7 linked regions of the Mus musculus genome follow. The protein of the gene in region 4 interacts with the protein of the main gene of each other region in a pairwise test. Links are inferred from orthologs where the notes say so. Each region holds a gene or a part of one and is shown on either strand. Other genes may lie near its edges.

Region 1 (3,959 bases), on a different chromosome or scaffold from region 4:
ACTGGTTGTGTGGCTTCATGAGAGAAAACAGATTCTACCCTCTCCATCCCTTTGAATCCAAAAGTAAGGGAAAAGTCAAGCGACTGCTGGAGCTTGCAGCTGCAAAGGTAAGAAGAAAAGGAGAAAACTGAAGCAGCTAAGGAAACAGAAGAGCTAAGTCTGGCACCACTAAGGAAGACTCAGGCTTAGCTTTTTGAAGCAGCTACTTAAGCAAAATGCTAGTGGGTCGGACTTTTTAATCCGAGTCTAAAGAAGCCCAGTGTGCACACATATCAATCAGTCAAACCACAGACACTCGTGGAGGGGATTTAAAATTTGTTACTAAAGTCTGGGCAACACTTGAAAAGACCAGTGCCCAGACATTCTTTAAAGGAATGAAAGGTCATAAAGATAGGAATTTGAAACTCAGAAAGCCTTGAGTACAGTTTCATTCTAAAGATGGTGTTAAAAAAAAAAAAAACCTGAATGGAGATTATTTCTAGATCTATTCAGTCATGTGTCAGATGCTAGATTAAAGATAAGAAAAAAAGAAAGCATTTAATTGAAAGAAAAAATTAGTCATGAGTCCTTTGGGATTAGAGCTCAGATCTGGGCTTAGCATTTTCCTATTCAGGAAAACTAAAGCTGTAGTTTTACACATGACACTGAGCCCTTTCAGACAGTGACAGTGTCAGGCTGTTGGCAATAGAGTGCAGACACTTGGTAAGGTGGTATGAATTGGAAGAAAAGTGCTGGGGGAGAGATAAAGAGCAGGCAGGTCTGAGATTCGCAGATGCAGAAATTAAGGACACTGTTCGCCTCACACACTAAGGCTGGGACTGAGGAGACCTAGACACTACCAGGAAAGGTGCCACAGACCAGAGACAGCAGTGCTCTTTCTGAACTTATATGGGAATAAGGCATGAAGTCGAGTCTACTGTGGCCTTGTGGCAGGAGGCAGGAGGATACAGACAGAGAGAAAAACATCTTCCCTGCGAAGTGGAGAAGTGGGAGGCACCAGGTGACCATGTTAGAATTTAGAGCCACGGAGAGAGGACACAGACCCGCTCCCAAAGACACTTAATATTTGAACCAAGTATTAATTGTTATTTCACAATGTAAGTTAGATAAACTTGACATCCTAAGGAGTAAAAATAAACATTGGTTCAAAATATAGATAAATTCGTAGGTGACTATTCCATTCCAGACTGTCAGGTAGGTCTGATCCTGACCCTTAGTGACATCGTCAGTAATTGTCCCATTATCCTTCTCAGTGAAACATCACTGTTGTCAAGGGACTTTGCCCATCAACCCTCTCACCCAATAATTCTTCCATTCATCCATCTATCTGCCTGGCCATCCTCCCATCCATCGAATTTGTGTCTGGCTTATCTGCTGCTGATCTTTTCATTGAACATATCATACATAAAAACTTTCCAACTTTTCAATCCCCTTTTAAAACCTTTTGAGACAGTCTCACAGAGCACAAGCTGGCCTCAGACTCATTCTGTATCAGAACCTGTGAGCCTCCTGCCTCCACCTCAGAGTCGGCTACTACACTCAGTTCTTTAATCCACTGGATGGGTGTACAGTCATTTATATAACCAGGGGACAATGCCCACTTCCACCATTTCTCCCCTGTATACAGACTGTATATGTTAAAGTGAGGAAAGGATAGGAAAAGAAACTAAAGAAATATTACCCTCCCCCCAATTATATTATCCAATTCCATTGAGATCCCAATCTACTATGCTGGCTGCAACCTGTGATGTCGCAAATCCCTTCTGAGGTTGGAGGGGAGGCCAGCACAGCAGCCCTAGCTATAGATCAACTCTGCCTGAGACTCGGTGGGAGAACGATTCCCACACACTGGGGAAACGCCTCCAGTGTTCAGCCTCTGCTGTGGAGGCTTCTGGCCCACAGTAAGGATTTGACTGATTTTGACTTTCTTCTCCTGCAGTCATTTCTGCAAGCCCAAATACACTCAGATCACCTCAGTCATTCCCAGATTTGTTGAGTTTGCTGTTTCCAACAGCTTTTTAATGACACCCCTATTTTACCTTCATTAAGGCTACCCTATTTACCACACTGCCCCTCTAGACCTCTCTATTCCCACTGCTGGCCCACCTACCCTTCTCTTCTTAAGCCTCTCCTGGTCACCCTGAGTCACTATCTAGATCCCTTTTCACATCCATTCATCTGTCACTTTCCCCATGTCCCCGCCTCTTCCCACCGATGTGGCAGCTACACTGATTCTCAGGTCACACCCTCTCCCTTGGCCAACACTCTTTCTTATCAATGGCGCAGATTGCTTTCCTCTCTAAACTGCGGAGCGATGGGCGAAGGCAGTACAGCTTGTAGTCACACAGGCAGCACGGGTAGTAGAGGTCACACAGGCCACAGGAGCGGGATCGCTTGGAGTAGCAGAGGCAGTAGGGATAGGGATGCAGGTCGCAGCAGCAGTACGGGTGCATGTATAAGTCACACAGGCAGCGGGAGCTGATTTCGTCGATACATCTCAATTGTCTTAATTCTCTGTCCACCTTCTTTATGTCCCTCCTAACACTGTCCAAAAGACAACTCAGTGCGGCCATTATGGTCACACCTTATTGTTCTGTGAGTACCTTTGGGAAATGGCACTCAGAGGAAAAAATTGTTCTAAGCTCTTCTCAGAGGCCTCCTTTAAAATTAAATGAGCCACACATGATTCACTTACTTTAAAGCTTGTGTTCTGTGACCTCACCCACCCTTTAAGTATGTCATAGTCTCTTGGTTACCATGCCAACCACAAACAGTTATGGTCCCCTGAGACCCTCCTCAGGGTTTCTCCCAGGAAGGTATTCCTACCAAGAGCTCGCTCACCCTGGGTGCTGGTGGACCTTGAGGGCTTCCCTTTAGTGTCCTTGACTTGTAGGAGTTAAGACAGTCATGGCTGTCATTGTGGAAAGGGCAGGAGCCACTTGGCTCTAGTCTCTGTGTCCCCATTAAAGGCCTGAGCCTCGTTGTAAGATTCTTTTTGGCTGTTGGCCCTTCTTTCCCACCAAGTCAGTCTCAAGTCTGCCTTTGTCATTGGCTTTCTCAGTCGCACATCTCTGAGTCCCACCCATTATTATTATTATTTCCTGGTGCCAGGGATCAAACCCAGGGTCTCATACATCACAGACAACTGCCCGTCCTCTACCAGCTAGGGTTCTAGCTAGCCAGGAACATCAGTTCTCCACTAGCTGGAGCCCAGAAGCTCTTGGCTTCTACTGCTCAGGGTTTCTGTCTACAGTCATCGCCCCACAACAAGGACCTGAGGTCTTGTTTCTAAGCCTCCAAGTGTCCCCGAGTGGCCCTAAACATTGGTCCCTGACCCTCTTCCACTCTCCGGAACCTTTTGCTTCAGCCATGCCCCATTCTCTAACATGGATCAACCTCTAAGACTGCAAACTCACCTCAGATTTGACTTGTACTTCTTAATCTGCTTCTATCTCTCAAACCTCTAGTCCCTTCTTCCTAGACTAAGTCCTAGGGAGGACACATGAGGACAAATGGATGCGACACCAGAGAGGCAACTAAGAGCTGGGCTTGAAGGCCACAGTTAGGGGTTTGACCTTTTATTTTCATTTCAATAAAGGATCATCGATTATCCCTCCTCCCCTATTGATAAGTGTTAAATGTGGGCCAGACCCAGTGAAGAGGCAAGGAGGGTCCAGGCTGGCGGTCACAGCTCAAGGGAGCATAAAAGGGAAGCTGGCAAGATGGTTCAGAGATAAGAGCTTTTGTGCTCTTACAGAGGAGGGCTGGATACTCAATCCTGATGAGGTGGTTCACAGCCACTGTAACTCCAGTTCCACTGTAACATCAGATCCATGGACAGGGATCTGATACCCTCTTTTGACCACCACAGGCCCCAAGCACGAACATCTTGCACATACATACATGCAGGCAACACACACATAAGATAAATCAAAACTTAAAAAGCAAAGAAACCAATG
Region 2 (3,934 bases), on a different chromosome or scaffold from region 4:
CCAGCACTCGGGAGGCAGAGGCAGGCAGATTTCTAAGTTCCAGGCCAGCCTGGTCTACAGAGTGAGTTCCAGGACAGCCAAAGCTACACAGAGAAACCCTGTCTCGAAAAAAAAAAAAAAAAAAAAAAAAAAAACCAAACAAACAAAGAAAGAAAGAAATCACACACATGGGACACTATAAATGCTGCCTTTTTTTTTTTAATCTAAGTTTTGTCAAAACCCAAGTAACTGATGGCTGACCCAAATGCCATATTCTGTATAGTTTTACAGCTTGTGCGTTTGTGAACATTACAGTAAAAACACAGGATTGAGGAAATGGAACCTGGGGAAACTTTAATTTTACTGAACTGCTCCATTACTGACATTAAGACTGTTGTAAACACAACACAAAACACCTCTCCCTCCCCAAGAGTGTCAAAGAGACAGAGGCACGTTGCAGTAGGGATTCATAAAGAAAGTGTGTATCAGCCCCCACCCCCAAACCCTCAGGAATTCAGGCTGGACACCTGCTCTGGAAATGCAAAAGCCCATGAATTCTGCGGTGGCTCATGGCTCCTGAGTGCCTATGTGGTTGGCTCATAGCTCCTGAGTGCCTATGTGGTTGCTCTCATATATTTGATTTGTCTTCCAAGCAATGCTTCACAGACATGATTTTTTAAAATTTTATTTTAATTAGGTATTTTCTTCATTTACATTTCCAATGCTATCCCAAAAGTCCCCCATATATCCCCCCACCCACTCCCACTTCTTGGCCCTGCCGTTCCCCTGTACTGAGGCATATAAAATTTGCAAGACCAATGGGCCTCTCTTTCCACAGACATGTTTTGATCTTGAATGCTTTTGGTATCTCTCATGAGGCCAATCTAGATATTCACACTCACAAGCTCAATTTCTTGGTCCCTCTAACAAACTCAAACCATTACATCTCGCTAAGACTTTGATGTCAGTTTGTTTGTTTCATGCTTTCAATAAAAGGCTGTATTTCTTCATTTGAGAAGTATTCTTGGCAGATATTACCGACCAGAACATTATTAATTGTTAAATCTATTCTGACAAATCATGTGCGAGGGAAAATGGAAAATTCCAGAACTCCACCCCCATGTAAACTCCTCCCAGAGCGCAGCCTGCAAGGCCAAGTTCTCGGCAGCTTCTTCAGGTCAGGCTGTGCCCAGTTGTGGTTCTGAGTGAGGTCAAAGGACATTTGGTTCGTCCACTTCCTTCAGCTAACTGTACCGGACCGAACCACTTTAATTTGATAAAACTATGTGTGCCTGACAGCAGCAATTAACCAAGTAACCAAAGTCCTCTTTAGAGAGTCAGAAATCTTGAGCCTGCTTCTACCCCCACCAGCACCCCAGTCCTAGTCCCTCTCCCTCCCAGATCAAACTGGTCTCCTCCAGGGATGGGAATGAGAGCCGAGCAGTGAGGCTGGTAGACCAGCTGCTTCCCGCCACCAGCAGAGGAGCGGTTCGGAGCTCAACCCCGCGGGCTTCGCTGGCGCCCACAACTTGTTTACCCTGCGTTTGGCTAGGGTTCAGGACGCCGGCGCCCCACCCTGCAGGAAGCCCTCCCGGGAAGGCTCCCCCGGCTGCCCCGCGTGGATCGTCCCAGCTCCTCGGCGCCTCTCGCCTTCCCCCAGGCAGGACAGCGAGCTCAGCCGGCGACGCCTGCAGCTGCGGGCGGTGAGAGGGGCCAGCGGGGAGCGGGGGACCCTGGGAGATTAGGGGGATGCGGGATGGAGGGCGCGGGCTCCGTGACAGTGGAGGAGGCGGGGCAGCTCAGCCGCAGGTGGTTGCGCAACTTTCGCTTTGTGGAGCGGGGTGGGGTTTCTTGTGTTGGGGTCCGCTTGGTTTCCCCCGGCTCTTGATAGGACAATGGGGTGCTGGGTGAAGGCTCTATGGGAGCATCATTCGGCCCTGGTGACATGAACTCTCGAGGGTGCAGGCCCTTCCCAGGAGACCCTCTCCACACTTTTCCCTCTTGCACCAGTGGAGCCTGTCCCCTCCTTGCAGCTCTGTGGGTCTCTCCTAGGGCCTTGGGCATAGATGTTTTCAGATAACTTTGCAAGGTTTTACTGGCAGGGGCTAAAAGATAGAGACAAGTTTTTGTTTGTTTGTTTGTTTGTGTCCCCCCCCCCCATTACTTTACAGAGTACAATATTAGCCTTTTAGGACTTAGAATTTTATATCTTATATTGTGTGGATGTACCCACTTTTAAGAACCGCAGTATGTTTGCGCTTTTATTTTGTCTATAGTAGTTTAAGTGGAGCCAGCAAGAGTAACAGAAGTATATTATGAAGACATTATGCAGTAAGGTTGATTTCCAAGATACTTCTGGGATACAGATGTTACTGCAGAAGTAAACACACAACCTCCACCTTCCAGCTCCTTGTTATGGGAAATAAGGAAGCAAGGCATTATGTAACCCTTAAAGTAGCCACACTGTCACATTGTATGGCCCAATGACATCACCAGAACAGAGGACACAAAGATGGCACATTATGCATAATTTAAGTGCCTAGGGACAATAACAAAGTTAATAAGCATTCCAGTTGCATCACACTTTGTAAGTCTTTTGAGGCTCAACTACAGGAAAGTACAGTGAAAACACACTTTAGTATAAATAACAGAAAAATGACAAATTTATTTAAACTATGAATTGTGGATAAAAATATGAATATGAAACTCCAAGTATTAAAATTATGCTACACATGAGACCCCAATAAAATTTATTTTCTTAGGTGAAAATATCATGTCCCTTAAATAATACATAATTAAACAGAATCGTAACTCATTCATAGTTTTAAACTGGCTCTTTAGCTAGACTATTTGAAAGAATTGCCACACTGCAATTTAAATGAAATACATGGCAGCTTGTTTTATATTAAAAAAAAAAGGGGGTATTCTAAAGAATGAACAGACAGTAGAATGATCCCAGACATTACAATAAAACTGAAGAAAGAGATTTAAGGATAAAATAAAAATGGGTATTTAATAAACATACATTTTAAGTCAGTAAAAGGGGACTGGCAAATAACATTTAAATTGATTATAATTGGAGCACTCGGCATTTATTTGGGTAAACTAATAATAAAACTGTTATTATAGTTAATATAAAGTGTGTTAACATAAAATGTAGTCAGGATGGATAATTTGAATCCAGATGCATAAAACCCAAAGGTTTGTGAACATGAGAAATGGGAAACATCTGCAAAACCTGGGCCCATTAAGAACTTATTTGTGAGCATAAGTACATAAAAATCAGACATGAATGAGGGGTTGTTAGAAAAAAGAAAGGTAATTCAACCACAGCTGGAACAGGTGATTGTCAGTAGCAGTCAGATGAGCAAAAAAAGTTAGGCAATTAAAATACCATGCTAACTTTTACTAGACCTGATGTTGAATATCTAATCATTTTGTTGTTGCTGACACAGCAAGAGCAATGTACACGTGCAAACTTCAAGGAGAAATATGAGTTGGCGAAACATATCATAAAGAGAGAGCTGAGAATAGTTGTATTCATTATTTTTCTTTTGCAATTCGTTCTGTAAAAATACGTGCCCAAGAAAAAATTAAAATCTGTCAAAGTCTTCCTTAAAGATGCTCATGGTAGCATTCTCTGTAATGGAGCAGGCTTTGAAACTGTTTGGAAATCATCTGCTAGGATTTAGTTGTTTAATTTGATGCATCAGGAGATAGAAGATACCTACTCCTAAACTTTAGGAAAGAGTAAATGTTCTAACATGTGAGTATGGTAAAGTGCTAGGTAAAATACTAACAGTAACTACAGGCACACCACAGGGTATGCACACAGTTACAGCATGTACGTATGTATGTACATATGTATGTATGTATGTATGCTGCAGCCTTTGAGACATTCGGAAGACAGAATGAATTATTGTTACTTTGAGTGTTTATATATTCTTGCATATTT
Region 3 (3,980 bases), on a different chromosome or scaffold from region 4:
TGTGACACAGTGAACAAGGCATTGGGTTCCAGTGTCCCTTTGGCAGCTCCAGTCAGATGAGAGCTCCTCCTGGGTAATGTGAGATCAGTGGCCTGCGTCATCTGTGATGTCCCCTCTCTCCAACTACAGGCTCGGCCACGGCCTACAGGGCTTCCTCCCAGAGCTGCCAAGGCGTGGGGAATTGGTGGTGCTGCACAAAGCCTGAGGTCCTCCAAGCCACGCAGCGCAGCATTTTTGCCCTGCCCAGGTTAACCCGCCGGTTTAAGACTTCGTGGTAAAGATTTTGCTGATGGCTCTTTTCCCTGGGGAACACCCTCACTAGTGATCACATATGAGGGAGGAGGTCACAGAAACTGAAAGGCTCTAGTCCAAGTGACACAGAGTGGGGTGTGTGTGTGTGTGTGTGTGTGTGTGTGTGTGTGTGTGTAAATCCTGGCAGAGCTGATCCTGGCCATGCATTCAAAGTGTGGCTTACTGTCATGCAAAGGACAGCCTCAGCATCTTGCATGGGTTAAAGCGACGCTTTCGCCTTGGCATGGATGGAGCTCCTGGAGGCAATCACTTAGACTGTGGCCCCAGGGTTACCATGAAGCCAGCTTTCATGTCACTGAAGAGCGCCCACAGAAGTGGCACCTGGGCTCACTCTGAAAGAAGGAGGCCATTAAGTCATCCTTGGGTGACTACAGATAGGTGACTCGCTTTCTGGATAGCTGGCACAAGATAGCATAGGGATAGAGTGGAGCCACATTGTACTGTCTCCTTCTCAGGACCCACCCCTGCCTGTGCAGGAGGGAAACTTGAGGCCACAACAGTCTCCTGTCTTCAAAGCTACTAAGAAAACGGCACACATCTTTTCCCCAAGACCCTACTACAAGGTTCTAAGCTTATTTATGGCCGATAGCCTCAGTCCCTCCCCCACCTGCTAGGGAGCTGCAGCAGCTAGCCACTCTGAGGTTTCACCAGCCCCAGACCCTGGGCCTGTTCTTGCCCTTTTTAACCTTGGTTCACTTATGGAGGCCAAGCCAGCTTCCTAACCTGTTTTGGTGGAAAGGCAAGATAAGCTGGGCTGGATGGATTCTGGAAGCTGATAGCCCACACCCAGTTTTCCACACTGGGCTGAAGGAAGTGCTCAGCAGGGAGGGCACAGGTGCTAAGTAACCATCTCTCTCTATCCCGGTATGATCTCCCCACCCTCTGGAAACAAAGGCCGTCTAACCATGGCTGACCTCCATGGTGGCTACTCTTGTCTAACTCTGGGAGAACTTGCCATCAGTACAGACATCGCAGCAGCAGTGGCCAAACCAGAACAGGGCCTGGCCACGACCAGGGAGGAAAGGCATGGGGGTCAGAGAAACAAAACCTCCCACTCAAAGACCCAGTGACCTGTACTGGGCTGGTCCTCAAGGATTAGCAAAAGGTGGGGGGCGGGGGGACACAGTTATCCCCACACAGGCCTGGGAATAGAAAGAAGGAACAGAGCAATCCTAAGCCTTCCCAGGCTTCTCTTACTGAGTCAGCTCAGGGTGGGGGAGTCCCACACTATCCACAGGGAGGCTGACCAATGCAACATGCACTTCCTCCACAGGGCACCTGAAAGGCATGGCCACCCTAGGAAGAAGAGTTCCTGGAGAACATGTTGCAGGCTGACTCCGTCTCCCTCCCTCCCTCCTTCCCTCTCTCCAATCTAACCCCTCCCCAGTTTGAGCTAGTCACTGTGGTATCAGGCATGCCTGGTTAGGATGGAGCCCTTGAGGGTTCTGTCCAAGTCCCAGTGCCTTCCTCTCTTCCTCTTCCTCTCCCTCTCCTCCCTCTCCTCCAGGAGACCTGATACACACACACACACACACACACACTGGATAGAATCAGCCAGCAACAAAGTACAATCTGACACCAGGAAGGAAGGTGGGCAAAGAGCCATGGGAACACCCGGGAGTGTTGTGACAGCAGCTTCTGCTTAGCAGCCCCTGGGGATGGGCAGGAGTACCCCAGAGCCTACACACATACTAAGAAACCCAAACACTCACTGACCCCTAGGAAATACCCAGACCGGAGAAGCAGAGAAGGTTAACATAATATCCCTTAGGCAAAGAGCAAACTAGTTTCCACTTCACCCCTGTGTTCCTGGAAGCCCAGGCACCCTCATCTCCAGACTCAGGAGCTTTGGAGGGGATGTATGTTGGGGAAAAGTAGTCAGGCTTCCCCGTGAAGTTCCGAAGGTTTTTGCTGTCTGCTGTCACAATCTAACCACTAATGGACACTGACTCCTACAGCGGGGCACGCAGAAGACACTGTTAGAGAAGGAGGCTTTCTAGACGTCAGAAAAAAACACGTGCTTGCTTGTGGAGGTGAGGGAGTGGGGGTTGTCACCCATCAGAACCAACTTCTTGGTTCTGAGACCCAAGGGGTTCTCTAGCTTCAGGGGAACCATCTAGACCGTGACTGCTCCAGTGTTACTCCCATCGGGCTGGAACACCGGCTCTGGTCTCTCCTTGGGACCTCAGTATCCCCACCTGGCATTCAGGGGAGCGGGTCCCAGGAAGGAAAGGCCGGGAAGGCCGCACTGCACAGCGCGGGGCAGGAGGCTGAAGACCCATATCCCTGCTCAGCCCCCACCTTGCGGATGCTGCCGTCGTCCTGCGGCCGAGAGCTTTCCTCGCCAGTGCCCTGGCCATCTGGCCTCTCCTCAAGGATCATCGCTGCTCGCTCGGACGCTGACTCCGAGAGGCTGCGAGCAGCAGGCCCCTCGCGCTCCAGGGAGGATCAGCCGCGCTGCTCCGACTGTCCCCCTCCTGGAGGGTCCGACTGACCGGTGCGGCAGAGCGCGGGCCCCGCCTGCAAAACTTGATGTTGTCCAATCAGAGGTGAGGGCTACTCCGATGGATAGAAACTACTACCAACCAGAGTGAGAGAAAGGCGGGCTCCAGGTAAGGGATCTGGTAACTCTTAGCAACCAGGGCCGCTCGCCGATCAGGGTACGCATGCGCAACGCTAGGTGTTAGGCGTGCGGAGAAAGTTAGGAAAAGACAAGCAGAACTGGGGGCGGCGACCAAGAGCCGCTGCAGCCTCTGCAGGGACTTCAAGGCTTTATCTCGTCACCCCGGCAACGGGACCCTCCAGGATTGCTCCAAAAATGTTTACAATGGGGTTTTTTAAACGGTTTGTTAGAGACAAGTGCTTGTGCTGATTCTAAAACAATGCCTGCTTTCTTCCCGGCACTAAGAGGCAAAGCGCCGCTGCGGTCCCCTTGCTTCCAGAACCGCCCCCAGAAACCTCGCCTCCGGGACCTGGTTATGCATTTTGTTTCCAGAGCCTACATTCTCCTTGACCTCCTTGTGCTTCCAGAACCGGATCGCCTTCCAGAACCCGAATTGGTTTTAAGAATTGGACTTTTTCCAGAACTCGAGCTCCTTGCAGGGCTTACTCCGAAGCACTTCTCAAATTCATGTGGGCTGGCTCACACTAGATGAGCTGAGAACACAGCCTAGAAATGAGTGGCTAGCCCTTTGTCAAGCTGCTCCAAAGGTCAGCCTCCTCCACGCTGCCCGCCACCCTGGTCACTGCTTGCCCTGACTGAGTCAGCGACTCAGTCTCTACGCCCCATCCCCCTCACACACACCTGGCTCTGTCATCCCCAGATCTAAATTTGCTCGGCTAAGCTCTTGGATGTCCCTGGACAGTGGGCCCCCGCCAGAAATGCTTCTCTCATCTGCCCCGCTAGCCTCTCCAAACTTCCTGGCATTTTTGATCCCAGGGCAGCATTGTCCCCTCCCCTCCCCTCCCCTCCCCTCCCCTCCCCTCCCCTCCCCTCCCCTCCCCTCCCCTCCCCTCCCCTCCCCTCCCCTCCCCTCCCCTCCTTTCTTTCCTTTTCTTTCCTCTAGTATCTTCCTGTGGAGTGTCACCTAATTTCACTTCTTCCTCCACTGACATCCTCATGAGCAGCCTCCTCCATCTCCGGGCTCTTATGCTGCCTAGGTGTGGTC
Region 4 (4,083 bases):
TGTCAGCCGATGTGGTGGAAGATGGTCAGGTCTGCCTGTGGGATGGGGGTGGGGGTGGGATGAGTCCCTGGAGGAGTGGGAGTGGCCCGAGGAAGGAGCTGTAGCGCCAGGACCTCATTCCTTGCACCTGGGAGGCATGGGCTTCACAGAGCACCCAAATAGGAAAGTGAATGGCACAAAGGAGGCTTTACTATCTTTCTAGGTTTAAGTCAGGCTGGGGTTTGTGAGTTAGGGGAAGGGAGGGGCGAAGGCTTAAATGAAATGAGCTTAAAGTTTGATTTAGATTGGACTGGACTTTGTAATAACAGCCAGTCAGACCGCTTGTTAACACCCGAAGGTGACAGGAAAAGCGATAAAACGTGCCCTAGATTCCTCCAGAAGAAATGGGAGGCCACATAGAATAATGTAAAAAGACAGCCGTGTGAAAAGTGCTCTTTCATGATTTCCCTTCACAATATAGACCAGTTAGTACAAAAATTCAGCTGGTATAAAATGTTGCTCGGCACAGCAATGCTGGGGTGGGGGAGGGAGCCCATTTTCCCCACACTCCCGACCCCCAAGAGAAAGCGAGCAAGCACATCAGTAAGCCAGCATCTCATTGTCTTCTCTGTCAGTCTGTCCCAAATCTTGTGAGCCAGAGGCTGGAGAAGCCCCCCGGCTGTCTTCAGGCTTCCCAGGTGCGCTGCTTTCAGGCGACCTGGAAGGGCTACTGAGAAGTCCTGCGTTCATGTTTACTTCTGAGGAACGTTGTGAACTACGAAGCAGACAAGCTTGCGTTGAGACAAGAGTCTTTCAAGTGGGTAGCCGGCTATGCATTACCCCTAGATTTGGAGGCAGAGGCAAGAGGATATCTGTGAGTCTCAAGTGAGATCCTGCCTCAAACACCCCAACTCCCCCACCCCCACCCCCGCCAAACCCGCACACAATCACACACAAAACCCTTACAGAGACTTCTTTAGTCTCCTGTCCATCAGCCCCGCTACATCCCTTGCGAGTTCACCCGCTGGACCCCAATTCTTCCTGCTGCACGCAATTAAAAGAGGCTCTCTCTTCCGATTGGACCACAGCACATCCCACTCGTGGGAGTCAGGAGTCTAGGTCAGCGACCTCAGGCTGCTTCTCCTTTCTCTGGGGTCTGAGGCTGGATGCTCCGGACCACTGTGGTCCCGTGAGCTGCCGGGTCGTGTCGGGCCAGCAGAGGGCGCTCGGCTCCCCCCACGGGGCTCCGGACGAGAGGAGGCGCCGGGGCTCGCGAGCATCTCCGGGCGGCCGGGAGGGGGTGCGCGCCTCGGGCCGCTGCAGCCCGGCTTCTGTCACCGCGGACGGCACCTCACTGGAGGGTGGGCGGGAGCGGCGTCTTTGTCCGGCGAGGCGTCCTCAGCCCGGGCCATCCCTGTGATCAGAGCCCGGCGGCTTGGGCGGTGCCCAGTGGTGAAGTGCGCGGGCGGAGGGCTGGCTGCGGCCACGGCCCCAGGTACCCCGGTGCCCTAAGCTCGCCACCTGCGCCACCTCAGCCCGCGCTCTGTCAAGTTGCAGAAGACCCGGGTGGGTCAGGAGTCTGGACGCGTGGGCGCGTTGCAAACTCCAGCTGCGAAGGAGCTGCGTGCGGAGGTAGCCCGGCCCGGGATGCTCCCGGAGGCTGCTCTGGTCTCTCTGCACATCCTTCTTGGCTCCTCCAGACCCAGGTGAGCGACTGCTGTCCGCGCGTCCCGATCCGGCTGGAGACAGGTGCAGAGCGGGGCGGAGGCGGTGCCTTTTGCTGGCTTCTCTGGCATCAGAGAGCCCGCTCCCCGCTGCCCACATCTTCTGCTCCGCCGGAGAGAGGCTGCAACCCACTCGCACCTTCCGGGGATGTCAGGTTGAGCACGGTGTTTCAGAGGCGACAGCGGGTTAGCCTAAGCGAGCTCCCACCCCTCTCCACCCCCAGCTCGGGATAATTCGGTCCGTGTCTTCGTCTTAATTTAGCACCGATGTGTTATTTCCTTGGAGCCCTAGAATGGTAAGGCTTGCTCCATCCATTTTTCAACCCCCTTCATTCTGAGTCTGTGCAGGGAAAGGCTTGCAAGTGATGTTACTACCGTTCTATTTTAAATACAAACACCCAGAGAAGTACGCTTGGCGGCGTGCCAGAGGCGCCTGCACTCTTTTGTTATGTAAGTGCTTCACAGGAATATTTGCTGGTTGGTAAAGTTAGGAGCGGTTACCAGAGAACGTAAGAGCGCAGGAAGTCAGAGCCATAATTTCTGTCTTAGCTCAAAACTTTCCTTCAGGATAAGCATGAGATGGTTTTGGTATCATTTAAAGGCGACAGGAGGTCCTTTCAAAAGAAAAATTCATACCGTAGACTCTCAAGCGTTAAGACACAAAACAGGCTTTTTTTTTTTTTTTAAGTCTGTTATGAAAACCAGTGGGACGTCTCTGACAATAAATAGGTGGGAAGTGACTTAAAGAAATAGATCCCTGTCACATAGCCGTTTTGGCTTTTAAGTTGTTAGGTAGTTGTATTTTGCTGTCACGTGGACATAGCTAATCGTGTGTTGACAGTTATTAAAGATCTCTGCTCACACGTACCGTAATTTTTCAGGTACAAAGATGAGAGTGGAAAACATCAGATACGCATCTTGTTCTTACTGGTTTCTGGTGATGGCATTTGTTATGTGTGTGGCTCATGTGGAGTCAGGGTTGTGACTGTTGGTGGGCATCGTTTCGTGCTTCGTTTAGTCTCCAGCAGCATAAGGTGGGGCTCGGTGGGTTCGAGGTACCCCAGCCAGGCGTGTGACATATAGGGAGAGAAACTTGTGTTTGACTGGAGAGAAGCTAAAGATTTTAGCCCGGGTCTTTTTCATCTAAGTGATTTTCCTGCTTGTTTTCCTTGCAAAGAAAAGCTGTGTGTACCGGGGGTCCTTAGTACCACAGAGGGTACCCATGGGAGTCTTAGTTGGGGTATAGTGCATTGTGCAGAGGAAACCCTGAAAGTTCAGTAGTTTTGGGGAGAGGGAGTGCCTTCTTTTTGTTTGCATGATTTTTTTTTTAAAAAATTGTTTCACCAAGGATTATTTTTCTCACTGAATGGATGTTTTCATATACTATATAGGAGTGCAATCAGTCAATCAGGTGCACAAAAGCCTTTTTGGTAATTTTAAGGACAGAGGGAAAGCTGGCATCTTTTATAAGTCCACATTTCCACAGCTTGGGGCGGGCTTACAGAGGCTTTATGGGAGCTTATGTAAGAGCCACGACGGTGCTTTTGGTACTCGGTTAAACTCCCTGCTTTGGCTATTACATAATTGACATGGAACTAGGCTGTCAGAGCTGAAATCGTGAGGGAGAATGTATAAAAACCTAGGCTCATGTGGGATGCACACAACACACACACACACACACACACAGACACACACACACACAGACACACACACACACAGACACACACACACACAGACACACACACACACAGACACACACAAACACACACACACACACAGACACACACACACAGACACACACACACACACACACAGACACACACACACACACACAGACACACACAAACACACACACACACACAGACACACACACACACAGACACACACACACAGACACACACACACACACACAAACACACACACACACAGACACACACACACAGACACACACACAGACACACACACACAGACACACAGACACACAGACACACACACACACACACACACACACACAGACACACACACACACACACAAACACACACACACACACAGACACACACACACAGACACACACACAGACACACACACACAGACACACAGACACACACACACACACACACACACACACACACACACACACACACGGCTTTATAATGAATAGCTGCTGCCAAATTAGAGGGAGCAGCAGGGATGGTCGTTTGTGAACGGGAGATAAGAACTGTGTCAGGAGGATGGCTGGAATAGAAAACTGTTAGGTTTAACAATTTTCTAGAGACCTGAATGCTGGCTGAAACTACTGCAGCCCTTTCCATGCTGGCTATACAAAGAGGCTGGGAATCTTGGCCTTCTGGTCCCTCACCTGGACTTACTTTGGGAGGC
Region 5 (4,154 bases), on a different chromosome or scaffold from region 4:
GTGAGCGGAGGAAGAGGGCCACCCTCGGTCCACAAGGAAAACACTCCAAGCTGGGGAGCAGGGTTAGCAGAGCCTCACCTCTTCTCTGAGCTCCTTCATCCTTTCCTCAAAATCATAATCTTTCTGCTTCTCTTCCATCTTCTTCTTGTTCACCTCAAAACGCTTCTTTACCTGATCCAGAGTGGAGCGTTCCACGCGCATGGACATACCCAGGTTTCGCTGATCTGGGTGAGGTTAACAACGGAGACAAGTCATTATAACATCCTCAGCCACCCCCCCCCCCCCCGGGAAAGTCTCGCCCTGGCTTTTTTAGGTTTGTTTACTTGTTTACCTTTTCATAATAAAGTACACAACAAAAATAACTATGGCTAAAAGAAGCTCTCAGCCTCACCTGCTCCTATTTACTGGGCAGATTATCATCAAGGCCAGCCAACGTCCTCCTCTGGCCTCTGTGGTCATGCACAGGTAGCACACAGCCAGGGATACTCAGAAGCAAGCAAGCAAACAAACGAACAAACGAAAGGCCCCAGAAAACCACTCTACCACACCTGCCCTCCAGCACACCTTTAAAACCCAACCCAGCTCCAGCCACCAACTACCTCCATGCCTTACGTTTCTTTCCATTAATGTGGTCCAGGAAGTTAATGGAGTCTTTCACCACACAGTCACAGACATTGCAGTAGTAGCTGACAAATGGGAAGAAACAGCACATGGGTCAATCTGGTTTCTAAGGATCTTACTGTTTTCAGGAAAGAAACTCAAATCTCTAGGTAAAATTAGATGATGTCTAATTAATGTCTCAATTAACAAAACAGACAAACTTCACATGACTTGCTTTAGGGAAAGTCCCTCTTTACACTTCATTGTGAATGACCTTACAAGCAGGCCCAGAGAATAAACTTGAGCCTCCGAACCACAGGCACGGGAGGGCCTGGAAGAGGACCTTCTAACTTTATTTAAGCCCCAACGAATGCAAACCTAGTCAATTCCACAACTGCGGCTTTATTAGAGACCCAGGTCCAGAACCTCCAAGGTGACCACCCCTCAATTCCTTGCCCACAGAAACTATGAGCTATTATTATGTTATGCTGCTAACTATTTAATGTACACAGCAAAGGAATCACAACAGTGGATTGCTATCTGTCTGAGTCTCCTGATGTAAGTTGTAACTTTGACAGACTTTAAGGAATGGTGGCAAAGGGTGACAAGGTCCGTGAAACTCTTCGATAGGTCACAATCTTGGTGCACAAAAACTATAGTTAACAGCTCCACCTAAAACCCACCCCGAGCCTTCAGGTCTTCTAACAGACTATATAGCCCCCCTGAAGATATCAGGGAAGTATTACAGTACCAATAGGAAGAAGCCCAGAGAACCACCCCTCCTAGAAATAGGACCGAGTGGGCTACAAACTTCAGGGGACAAAGAAAGACAAAGAATCAGGTTATGGTCAGAACGGTGGCCATCCCTGGGCCCAGGATTCTCCTCAACACTTCCTAAAAACCAATACAGTTTATTAGGCCAGCTGTGGTATTAAGAGTCGGACAGGAAGCAACTCACCCTCCCATTTCAGACTGTGGGGTCGTCTTGGTGATAACAATCGTCTTCCCCAGCTTGGACTCCAGGTCCACCTTGTAATCCCTGTGCCGCAGAAGCTCCCGCTTGACAGGCTGCACTGGTTTCCCTGAAAGGAAAAAGATTATGAACCCCAAAATTCAGAAGACTACTCATGCTTTTTTTTTTTTTCTTTTTAATTCCTCAAAGAACGGACACAACAGGTACTTTATGTAGCAATTCAAAGAGGCTAGGAAAGACTCTAATTGGCCTGGACTTATATAGACATAGGCCTGGTCACTATGTGGACCAAGCTGGCCTCAGACTTGCAATGGTACTGCCAACTCTCAAGAGCTTTTCTCCCTTTAAAGCCAGCAAATGTAAACAGTGTTTCCTATGTGTTGTCTAGTTGAACTGAGGAGTTCTGAATTTTTCCTGGAGGTGACCCTTTCAAAAGAGGGGTACTCACACCGAGTAGCGTATGTTCAATGTTTTCATGCAGTTACATCTGGAATCAACTAAGACCCAAGCAGCTGGACACGCTTGTTTGGGAGGTTTTGATTTGATTTGATTTGGAATATGGGCTACGCCTAGGGGAAGCTCACGTAAAAAGGAGAGGAAAAAGCTTTAGGGCTTTTGTTTTGTTCTGTTTTGTTTTGTTTTGTTTTGTTTGCCTCGTTAACTGCAAGTGATTTATCTATCCTGTTGCTGAGGCATTCCTTCTCTAGCCACAGCATCATCTCTACCGTCCCCTTATCCCTTCGTGGAGCGAGCACCCACCATCCTTCTTCTCTCTCTCCTCTGTGAGTCTCTTCTCCGCGAGCTTCTCATATTCATCTTTGTCCCACTTTCGGCGAAAGTCCAAGTTTTTTGTCTGTAGGGGGGGAAAAGGTGCTCAAGATACGTAGCTGTGCCTGTTGCCCTGGAGAAACTAAGGGAACCGCCTAACGGCCACCGGGGCGGCCCCAGGACCTTTCGGAAGAGAAGTCTCTCTGGAACGCCCAGGGGTCTGGTGGACTCGGGACCCCCAACCCGAGAGACTTCCGAGATTCCACTGTCCCTGCGCCAAGGCCTTACGGGGGAGCTCTCGAACCTGAACCCTGAGATCGCGAAGAGGTGTCAGGAAGTCAGTCAAATCTCACAGCCTGTCTCTATTTAGCTCTGAAAAGCCATCCCCCAGACCCCTCAAACCTCGTCACACCAACACCTACCCCGCTGCCAGACGCCATCTTCACAGCGAAGTGAATGGGAAGCCGTAAAGTGCAGTAAAACGCGCCCTGGAGCCAGAAGGCAAGATCACGCTCCAATAAGATCCGAGCCTCTCATTCTGACTGCGTTAGGACTGGAGCGATTCTAAGGCAGTCCTGTTGGCCCCGCCCTCTGCTCCAGGGAGATGGCGCAGGCGCAAAGGGAGTGTGAAGCTACACGGAAGTAAGGGCACGGGCCAACGTTTTTCTCTCTGGCTTTAAAAACAAGCCCAGAAGAATAGCTCATCTCTTCTATTATGCAAAGAATCAGAGTTTTGAAAATAGTGCTCCATGATCTAACCAACTTTACCTGATTTCTAGGGGTTTCTTTGTTTTGTTTTGTTTTTTACCGGATTTCTAGTTTTGGTTGTTTTGGTTTTTTTTTTTTTTTTAAAGACAGGTTCTCAGGTAGCCAAAACTGAACTCTAATTGGCTATATAGTCTCTAATCTTGAACTTCTGATCTCTCCTGCCTCTACTTCCCAAGTGCTGAATTTATGGGGCATGTACCACCACGACCGGTTCATGTGGTCCTAGAGGCTTCATTCATGCTATCAAGCTCAATTCTACCAATTGAGCTAGGTTCCCTGCTAGGCAATTTCCTGCCTAGCAAACCTCTTCCACAAACAACATATTTTAAGCACTCGTTAGAGTGGCGAATGCTTCATTCTAGGGTGTTGGCTGATTCTGTTTTCAAGATTAAATTGTACTGTATAAATGAAATGAGTTTAGATGTTCTCCAGACATCAAAATGAGTTTAACCAAAAAGTAGCACTAATTTTTTTGGCGGCGCAGGGGTGGTGGTGGGGGTCAGGGGTAGTAGTGGTGGAGGGGACAATGTAAAACTACTTGTCTTCTGTGCATAATTTAGAGCCACATTCATAGTACATGCTGGTGAATGGGGCATCTACAGTCACAAGTGTTTTAGTCTTTAAAATACGGTTTGCTAGGCAAATTAGAGTTCAGTTTTGGCCTGAACTTATTGCCACCACTTTCTAAGAGGGATTACAGGGATTATAGGTGTGGTATGTTTGTAGACAAGGTCTCACTATTTGGCCCTGGCTGGCCTGAAAATCTCTTTGTAGAGATTCCTTGGTATATTACTAGAGTCACAGGACCTCTGCCCTTCTGTGTTCCCCTAAAGACCTCCCTCTTTGAGGCTGCGTTCCCCAAATTCCCCCTGCATCTTACCCTCTTCATCTATCCAACCTGCTGTCTAAACATTAAACCCCTCTTATGTCCTGCTAGTTTTAATCTTTACTCTTATTCAAGTGACCCTACACTCAAGAGATTCCCCTGCCTCTGCCCTACCACTTCACTGCTGAGATTAAATGTATGTAGCGTCAGGCAAAGGGT
Region 6 (4,034 bases), on a different chromosome or scaffold from region 4:
GCTCTCCGCTACTTGTGGAAGGAGATCCTAAGGAGGCAGTCCTAACATAGAGAAACCGATGCCCAGGAATGCCCACCATGCCATTAGCCACAGTAGCAGGAGACTGGAAAGACCTCACATAGAACGTCCACTGGTAGAGCAGCATCGCGCTGGGTAAGATGTGTATGAAGGGCTGGCTGCCAAGGTGGCTTAGTGACTAAAAGCACGGGCTGCTCTTACACAGGATGTAGGTTTGATTCCCAACACAAACACAGTGGCTCACAACCATCTGAAACCCCAATTCCAAGAGATCCAACACCTTCAACCTCTACAGGCACCAGGCACACATGAACAAAACACTCAATAAAACTTTTAAAAAGAAAAGAGAGGTGTATTAAGGGCCAGCAGTGATGGATCTATGGCATACTAATATGAGAACTGTAGTTTAGATCCCAAAGTCGCATAACTGCCTGCTGAGCACGGGAGCCTGCAGGAGCTTCCAGCCCGGGAAGGTGGAGTCTGGGCATTCCTGAAAGAAGCTGGCTATCAAGACTAACCATATCAGGGGCCGGAGAAACTGCTCAGCAGTTAAGAGCACTGGTTGCTCTTCCAGAGGACCTAGGTTCAATTCCCAGCTCCCACTTGGAAGCTCACAAATGAAATTCTAGATCCAGGGGATCTAGCGTCCTCTTCAGGCCTCTAAGGACACTGCATACTGTGATTAAAGATGATGTGTAGGCAAATCCCCTGTATACAGTTTTTTAAAAAGGATCGGCCATATTAGAGAGCTTTGGATTTAATTGCTACCTGCCTTCCTCAATGATTAAGATGGAGAGTGATCAACCTTGCATACTTGAGCCCACACATGCACATATACACAAAACATGGGAGTTATGGGGGTGGGGAGTGATATCCATGAAGATTTGGCAGGAGACACTGCTTAAGAACACAAAACAATTTGAGGTCAGTGGTAGTGGTCCCACCAATTCTTTGGTCAGCACAGTGATGAATACTTCATAGCACTCTGAGGCTGACACAGGATTGCTGTAAGTTCAAGGCCAATCTGACCTACATCGTGAAACCCATACTCGTTTCTTTGCTGGCTTTTCTCGAGTGTGCAGTTTTAGGAAAACTTTGTTCTCCCAACACGCTTGTTAATAGCATGCTACACCTTCTGCTCTGTAATACAGTTATTGCAAAATGAAGGCATTGGGTTGGGGAGATTCGGTGGTAAAGTGGTTGCCATGTGACAAGGAGGGCCTGAGCTCAGTCCACACAATCCAGGTTTAAAAAAGTGGGTGTGGTGGCACAGCCCCGGGGGAGGGACAAACAGGCAGACCCTGGGACCAACCAGCCAGCAGCCTCTCCTACTTACCAAGCTTGCTGCCACTGAGGGACTATCTCAGAAGACAGGTGGACGGCCAATGGTGGTTCAGTGAGTAAAAACTGTCACCAAGCCCGACTACCCAGTTCAGTGCCAGAAAAATACAGAGGAAGAGACAGTCATCTCCCACAGTTTCTCTGACTTCCACACATATACAAAGTAAATTGTAATTTCTTAAAGGAGCCCTCAGGGGCTAGAAAGATGACTCAGCAGCTCAGAATACTGGTTGTTCTTAAGAGGTCCTGAGTTCAATTCCCAGCAACCACATGGTGCCCTGTTCTGGTGAACAAGAAAACAGCACTCATACATAAAGTACCTAAATAAGTAAATTTTTAAAAAGGGGGACAGGGGCCCCCTAAAGAGTGACACTGATGTTGCTCTCTGCCCTCCACATAATCTCAGAAAGATTCAGGACTAGAGATAGGGGTCGCCCATTGGTGGAGCCTTTGTATAGCACTGCGAAGCCCTCGCTTCAATCCCAGCAGCATAAAACAAAACCCTCACAACAGCTAAAGTAATCTGCACTCTTCCAGATACATCTGCTGCAGTTCCATGGAACCAAGTACGCTGCCATCGATCCGTCAGTGGTCAGTGCGGAGGAGCTAGAGGTGCAGAAAGGCCGCCTCGGCCTCAGCCAGGAAGAGCCATAGATGGGGCTTGAGATGCCGAACCACCCTGCTCTTGCACAATCAGTTCGGGTTCGTTGGTCGGGCACACTGGTCCTCACCCTTCTGGAAGTCGGACTGATTGTCAATCTCATGACAGGCGTCAGCTCTTCTAAACCAGTGTGACTGGCCCCTCTCCACATTTGTTTTTGTTTTAAACTTTTAAATTTGAAGAACTTTTAAAGACTCCCATTTTAAGAATTGTGAAAATTTTGCTACCAAAAGTCTTCTCCACTCTGTTCATCTCAAAAGCTTGGGATCATGTGGCGTTCTCTCTTTTCCTGCTTTCTATAACTGCTGCACCCACCTCCAGGTTAGAAGAGGAGCACCGGTCATTTTTATGCTTTCTTGGGCATAACCAGAGGGTCGAGGCTGGCAGCCTGCTGGCCACTCCCTACACATCAGCTTTTTTGCTTTCCAGTTGAGCACATCATTTTGAGTATTAGCTGTTGTATTTCTAGACATTACATTTGGAATAAAAATTGAATTTCAGCCAGTGGCTTCTGTGATGAGTGAGGCTGCCCCTCTGGGCTACTGGCCAGTGCTGTGTGATGTCGGGTGAACAAGTCCATCACTCTGACTGCAGCACGGCTGGCTGTTACCTGCTGACTGCCGCTGTAGCCTACGTGCTCTTTTAATCTTTTTCACTAATGGGATTGTTAAAAAAGAGATAGAGTCTCATTTAGGCTAGGCTGGCCTTGAACTCATTATGTGTCAGGGCTAGCTTAGAGCTCCTGATCCCCCTGCCTCCACCTCCCAAGTGCTAGGATTACAGATGTTATCCTGAAAGATCACCAGATGCCCGATAGAAGTGGTTTTAATACATATGGAGAACATAGTAAACTGTCTCCAGCTCTTGATCCAATGTAGAAAACGTCCAGCCTGTGGATAGCCTTGTCTCCCTCCCGCACTTTTCTACATCCCTTCCTATCCTGGATGGCTATAAAGCATTTCCATGTGTCCTTTCAAGAGATATGATAGGATACTTGAGACGCTGGGGAGATGAGTCTGTGAGTAAAAGTGCGTGCTGGACGAGCATGAGCACTTGAGACCGCCCAGTGCCCGTGCACAGTGTCAAGAGTGTCCAGGCAGCCTGTAACCTCAGATAGCCCAGTGCCCGTGCACAGAGTCAAGAGTGTCTAGGCAGCCTGTAACCTCAGATAGCCCAGTGCTCGTGCACAGTGTCAAGAGTGTCCAGGCAGCCTGTAACCTCAGATAGCCCAGTGCCCGTGCACAGTGTCAAGAGTGTCCAGGCAGCCTGTAACCTCAGATAGCCCAGTGCCCGTGCACAGTGTCAAGAGTGTCCACATAGCCTGTAACCTCAGATAGCCCAGTGCCCGTGCACAGTGTCAAGAGTATCCACACAGCCTGTAACCTCAACACTAGCTGCAGGGCATCCATTCTCTGGCATCTGCCCACACATACACAGATATATACACCCATCTGTATACAGGTATCTATACAGTAACAAAGAGGTTATTTGATAATAAAGGTTGAAATATCTGTATATGTAAGGGGTTTTATTCAGTTCACATAGTAGAAAATTTATACAATATACACACATATAGAAAGCTATAATTAACATTTTGAAAAAATTAACACTTATGGGAAATTATTGACATAAAGCTAGAAAAAATTAATATCTTAACTATAACCATAAAAAACAAAAATCTTGGGCCAGCAAGATGGTTCAGCAGGTAAAAGCCCTTGTCACACCAGCCTGATAACCTGTCTTCAACCCCCAGAAACCACAGTGGAAGAAGAGAACCATGTCTACACATTGTCCTCTGCCTTGCATGTGTGTGCTGACACATGTACATGCCCATGGTCATACACACATAGTAAATTCTAAATAAGCTGGCATGGTAGTGCATACCTTTAATCGTTAGCACAGCAGAAGCAGGAAGGTGTCTGTGACCATGAGGCCAGCCTGGTCCACACTGTGAGTTCCAGATCCATAAGGAACACCGCCCCCCCCCTCCTTAAATAGAAACCAAGACTCTTGG
Region 7 (3,500 bases), on a different chromosome or scaffold from region 4:
TCATGAACTAGAACTTCAGAACATGGGACTGGGAATTTAGCTTTAGCCTAAGTGGCATGGATCATGAGGGCCTCCCCAGTAAAGATGGTGGCTGCAGCAGGAGCCAGTTGGAAAAGGCAGTGGTGCTAGACTCACTGTTGACATTCTTGGGGACCCAAGAAGGCTGAACTGCTTGGCCAAGGGTGCTTTGAGGGATAAGGGTCTGATAAGTATTTGTCCTGTGAGTACAGACGTCACGGATCTGTAAGAGCCTCCCCGTCTCTGGTAGTAAGATGATTCTATGAGCCTGTCTTAGGGTTTCAGGAGTGCCTTTGAAGCACTTAGCACCTACAAGAAGAGAGAAGCCTGAATGGAGAGCTTAAGCTTTTATCTTTTCCTCCCAGAGATGCAAAATACAATGCAATGTACACTCTCAGATGTCACATAGCCCCCCAGCAGTAGGTATTTGCTGTCCCCTAACTCTTCTTCCCCTGCCCATCATGGATGTTTATTTGATAAAGTTTAAAACATGCTTGCATCTCAGTGTGTAAAATATGGAGGTGGGGGCAGGGTGGGGGCTTGAGTTCAAGTTTGACCCTGTCTCAAAACAACACTAGGGAGCCAATGATGTAGCTAGGCTGGCAGACAATTTGCCTGCTATATATAGAGTCCTAGGTTTAACACCCAGCGTGGCATAAACAAGCCAGGGAGAGTGGTGCAATACAGTGCTTGGGAGGTGGAGACAGGAGGATCAGAATTCTGTTCAAGGTCATCTTTGACTACATAGTGAGCCTAGCCTGGACTACATGGAAATCTGTCTTAAAACAACTAAACTCCCAAAACAAAACAAAACAAAACAAAACAAAAACACCCCGTGAAATGTTTTACTAAAGAAATGGCTCACCTGGATCTCTGTTTATGTTTTCATTAGGCAGTATGGTGAGAATGTCATAGCCGTTGCTCCTTGGCTTGCTCTGGGCGATTTTATTGCCATTATGGTCCTTCAGCTTTTGCATATCAAGCATCGCCTTACTCAGAAGACTCTTCCTCAACTCCATTTGGGCCTGAAATGATCAACTAGAAGTGGTTAGTGTCCCCCTAAACCGTCTTCCCCTGCCTGAACAGGTTAGCATCTCAGCAACATCAAAGGTGGACAGTTCACAGACCTGAACACCCGTGAACACAGTGGAGTGGTTTTCTTCCTGGGAACTTTATTCTCAGGCTTGTTAGGAGACAAGTGAGCATGCTCACTGTCTCAGAGAGGCATGGCCAATGGAAAGAGGAAGCCTGCTGGCCTCTGTCTGTAGATGTGGTGTTTGGAATTACAGAGGATAGAACCACAGGATGCTTCCTTAGAGAGCGGCGTTTAGGGTAGGACACTTGCAGAGCTGTACTGGAGAACGTATTCCAGTGTGTCTTCCTAAAATCTAGATTGGAAACATATCCCTACCCCAATCCTTATGCTGGTTTGTAGGTGGCTCACTTTCAGGATAGAGGAAAACTACTGTCACAGGAGGAGGCTAGTTCTCCCTAGAAAGAGCTAGAAAGGCTGCTTGCCTGCCTTGGCTTGCTCTTGCCCCCTGACCCCTCACTCTCAAGAACATTGTCACCTTCTGCGTTCCTTGCTTGTGCTGTGTTGTATCATCAGTGTCTCAGTCTTAGCTCTTTCCGCCTCTGGATCGACGAGCAGTATCTCTATTGTCTTTGTCAATTAACACATTTTGGTATTCTCTTATAGCAGCAGAAAAGGAAACAGGGTTTCACTCCGTAGCTCAGGCTGTCCTGAAACTTTCTATGTAACCCAGGCTGGCCTAGACCTTGTGGCACTCCTCCTGCACAGCCCCACAAGCATGGGGTACAAGCATGCTCAGTACCAAGTGTTTCTCTATAGAAAATTCTGCAGCATGGATTACAGGGAGAGGCCTGTGTATCAGACTATACACTGACTTCTTTTCCCTCTCTAAGTAAACCAAGAAACTAGTATTATTGATTTACCTTATTTTCTGGCTGCAACCAGAGGGTCCAAGGCAGCTTGTTTTAAAAAAGAAGACATAAGCTAGGCTTTGTGATTCATATCTTTAATCCCAACAATGAGGAAGCAGGAGGCTATCTTGGCCTACAGAGTGAGTTCCAGGTCAGCCAGAACTATGTAATGAGACCTTATGTCAAAAACAAAACAAAGAGACAAAGACAAAGGGACACCCAAGGGACCAGTGAGATGGCTCAGTGATTAAGGGAGCTTGCTGCCAAGTCTGACAATCTGAGTTCGAGACCCAGAACCCATATGGTGGAAGAAAATAAAACCTACTACAAAAAGTTGGCCTCTGGCCCCCAGACACGCACTGTAGCACATGTGTGTGCCCTGTGCTCCCACAAAATAAGGAAATAAATGTTTAGAACATTAAAAGAGATCAAGGCTGGGAGCAAAGGTCATCTTCCTGTTTCTTCCAGTTTGGGCAGTGGCAGCTTCTGCTCCAGTGCCGAGTAGAGATTGGCCTTGGTGGGACAGTGATGGTGCCCTCCATATTTGGTAAATGCGACCCTCTTCTCATTACCTCTTGTCTTTTATGGTTCATCTCTAGCATTTTCATCTTATGCAAATATTGTCTTTTCCCAGAAGTGTACATAGGAAGTTGAATTTTCTTCTCATTTTCCTGCTGTGAAAGATGACATGTTTATTAGTTTGGGGTCATTGTTGTTGACTGCCACAATCTACAGCCTTCAATCCTTCTTGGAGCAGGAGATCTTAATCCATTGTAATCCATGGTGTTCTCCTGTCATGATAAAGCTATACTGGTGTGTGTCCCTGACAAGTCCTTTGTATAGCTGTCTGAATGAAGTGGCAATCTGCTGTGTATCTAGTTGTATTTTAAAGGTTCTTGCAGAGTGTTGAAAGCCTGAATGTAAGGCCTTGACAATTTCATTTTGATAATCTCACTTCGACAATGTACCATTTCTCCCCCAACAGATGCTTGTAATATCTCTCTAGAAGAGTGGCTGGGTTTGATGAGACCTTCCTTCCCTTTCTCTTCCTGTGTCTTCTACCATTGAATGGACAGCTGTGACGTGAGAAGAGCACCCCCTAGTGGCCCTGTGGAACTTATTTCTCTACAGTTTGTTTTCATATTCTAATATAAGTACAGGGAGCACAGCAGTTAAGGGAGGCTTTGAAATGACTACTGATGAGTCTGCTGCTCTCCCTTTAGTTTGTCATGAAATTCAGTGGCAGAGGTGGCTATTGAGGGTAAGCAGGGGTGAATGTATTTTCATTTGTCACCTACTGTTGCCCAGAGGTAAAGAACAGAACTGGCGACAACCCTTTGTGCTGCCCTGTGGACAGTGTGTTGCATGGTGCAGAAACATAGAGGGAGGCTGCCGCAGCTGCCAGCACGTTAAGCACGGACTTGAGGACCTGTAGCATGCGGGTGACCCTTAACCTCACCCAGCAGTGACTGGCTGGCTCCGGAATGAGTCAGGACAAGGTTTGAAAAGGACCCCTACAAACAGCTTTCGTTTTTTTA

The links.
Region 1: the proteins of Mtus2 (region 4) and Odf1 interact in binary tests that used the Homo sapiens proteins (3 or more experiments, as listed by UniProt). The two-hybrid records come from large-scale screens. The link is inferred for Mus musculus from reciprocal best matches to the Homo sapiens genes MTUS2 and ODF1.
Region 2: the proteins of Mtus2 (region 4) and Plscr4 interact in binary tests that used the Homo sapiens proteins (3 or more experiments, as listed by UniProt). The two-hybrid records come from large-scale screens. The link is inferred for Mus musculus from reciprocal best matches to the Homo sapiens genes MTUS2 and PLSCR4.
Region 3: the proteins of Mtus2 (region 4) and Rhpn1 interact in binary tests that used the Homo sapiens proteins (3 or more experiments, as listed by UniProt). The two-hybrid records come from large-scale screens. The link is inferred for Mus musculus from reciprocal best matches to the Homo sapiens genes MTUS2 and RHPN1.
Region 5: the proteins of Mtus2 (region 4) and Zmat2 interact in binary tests that used the Homo sapiens proteins (3 or more experiments, as listed by UniProt). The two-hybrid records come from large-scale screens. The link is inferred for Mus musculus from reciprocal best matches to the Homo sapiens genes MTUS2 and ZMAT2.
Region 6: the proteins of Mtus2 (region 4) and Spg21 interact in binary tests that used the Homo sapiens proteins (3 or more experiments, as listed by UniProt). The link is inferred for Mus musculus from reciprocal best matches to the Homo sapiens genes MTUS2 and SPG21.
Region 7: the proteins of Mtus2 (region 4) and ccdc198 interact in binary tests that used the Homo sapiens proteins (3 or more experiments, as listed by UniProt). The two-hybrid records come from large-scale screens. The link is inferred for Mus musculus from reciprocal best matches to the Homo sapiens genes MTUS2 and CCDC198.

What each region holds. Positions count from the first base shown.
Region 1 is NC_000081.6:38,218,044-38,222,002, reverse strand, and holds the start of Odf1 (outer dense fiber protein 1), read right to left. Parts: upstream 2,801-3,959; 5' UTR 2,574-2,800; coding exon 2,296-2,573; intron 1-2,295.
Region 2 is NC_000075.6:92,456,244-92,460,177, forward strand, and holds the start of Plscr4 (phospholipid scramblase 4), read left to right. Parts: upstream 1-1,134; 5' UTR 1,135-1,682; intron 1,683-3,934. UniProt on the Homo sapiens protein: Catalyzes metal ion-induced ATP-independent rapid bidirectional and non-specific movement of phospholipids (lipid scrambling or lipid flip-flop) between the inner and outer leaflet of the plasma membrane and participates in the redistribution of phospholipids between membrane leaflets.
Region 3 is NC_000081.6:75,703,108-75,707,087, reverse strand, and holds the start of Rhpn1 (rhophilin-1), read right to left. Parts: upstream 2,801-3,980; 5' UTR 2,695-2,800; coding exon 2,614-2,694; intron 1-2,613. UniProt on the Homo sapiens protein: Has no enzymatic activity. May serve as a target for Rho, and interact with some cytoskeletal component upon Rho binding or relay a Rho signal to other molecules.
Region 4 is NC_000071.6:147,956,037-147,960,119, forward strand, and holds the start of Mtus2 (microtubule-associated tumor suppressor candidate 2 homolog), read left to right. Parts: upstream 1-1,283; 5' UTR 1,284-1,685; exon of another isoform or gene 1,686-1,999; intron 2,000-4,083. UniProt on the Homo sapiens protein: Binds microtubules. Together with MAPRE1 may target the microtubule depolymerase KIF2C to the plus-end of microtubules. May regulate the dynamics of microtubules at their growing distal tip.
Region 5 is NC_000084.6:36,792,569-36,796,722, reverse strand, and holds the start of Zmat2 (zinc finger matrin-type protein 2), read right to left. Parts: upstream 2,801-4,154; 5' UTR 2,782-2,800; coding exon 2,764-2,781; intron 2,427-2,763; coding exon 2,333-2,426; intron 1,683-2,332; coding exon 1,559-1,682; intron 687-1,558; coding exon 613-686; intron 225-612; coding exon 79-224; intron 1-78. UniProt on the Homo sapiens protein: Involved in pre-mRNA splicing as a component of the spliceosome.
Region 6 is NC_000075.6:65,484,937-65,488,970, forward strand, and holds the end of Spg21 (maspardin), read left to right. Parts: intron 1-1,896; coding exon 1,897-2,013; 3' UTR 2,014-3,534; downstream 3,535-4,034. UniProt on the Homo sapiens protein: May play a role as a negative regulatory factor in CD4-dependent T-cell activation.
Region 7 is NC_000080.6:49,231,929-49,235,428, forward strand, and holds part of ccdc198 (uncharacterized protein CCDC198), read right to left. Parts: intron 2,637-3,500; coding exon 2,535-2,636; intron 1,044-2,534; coding exon 884-1,043; intron 1-883. UniProt on the Homo sapiens protein: May be involved in tuning the metabolism, energy expenditure, and excretion processes.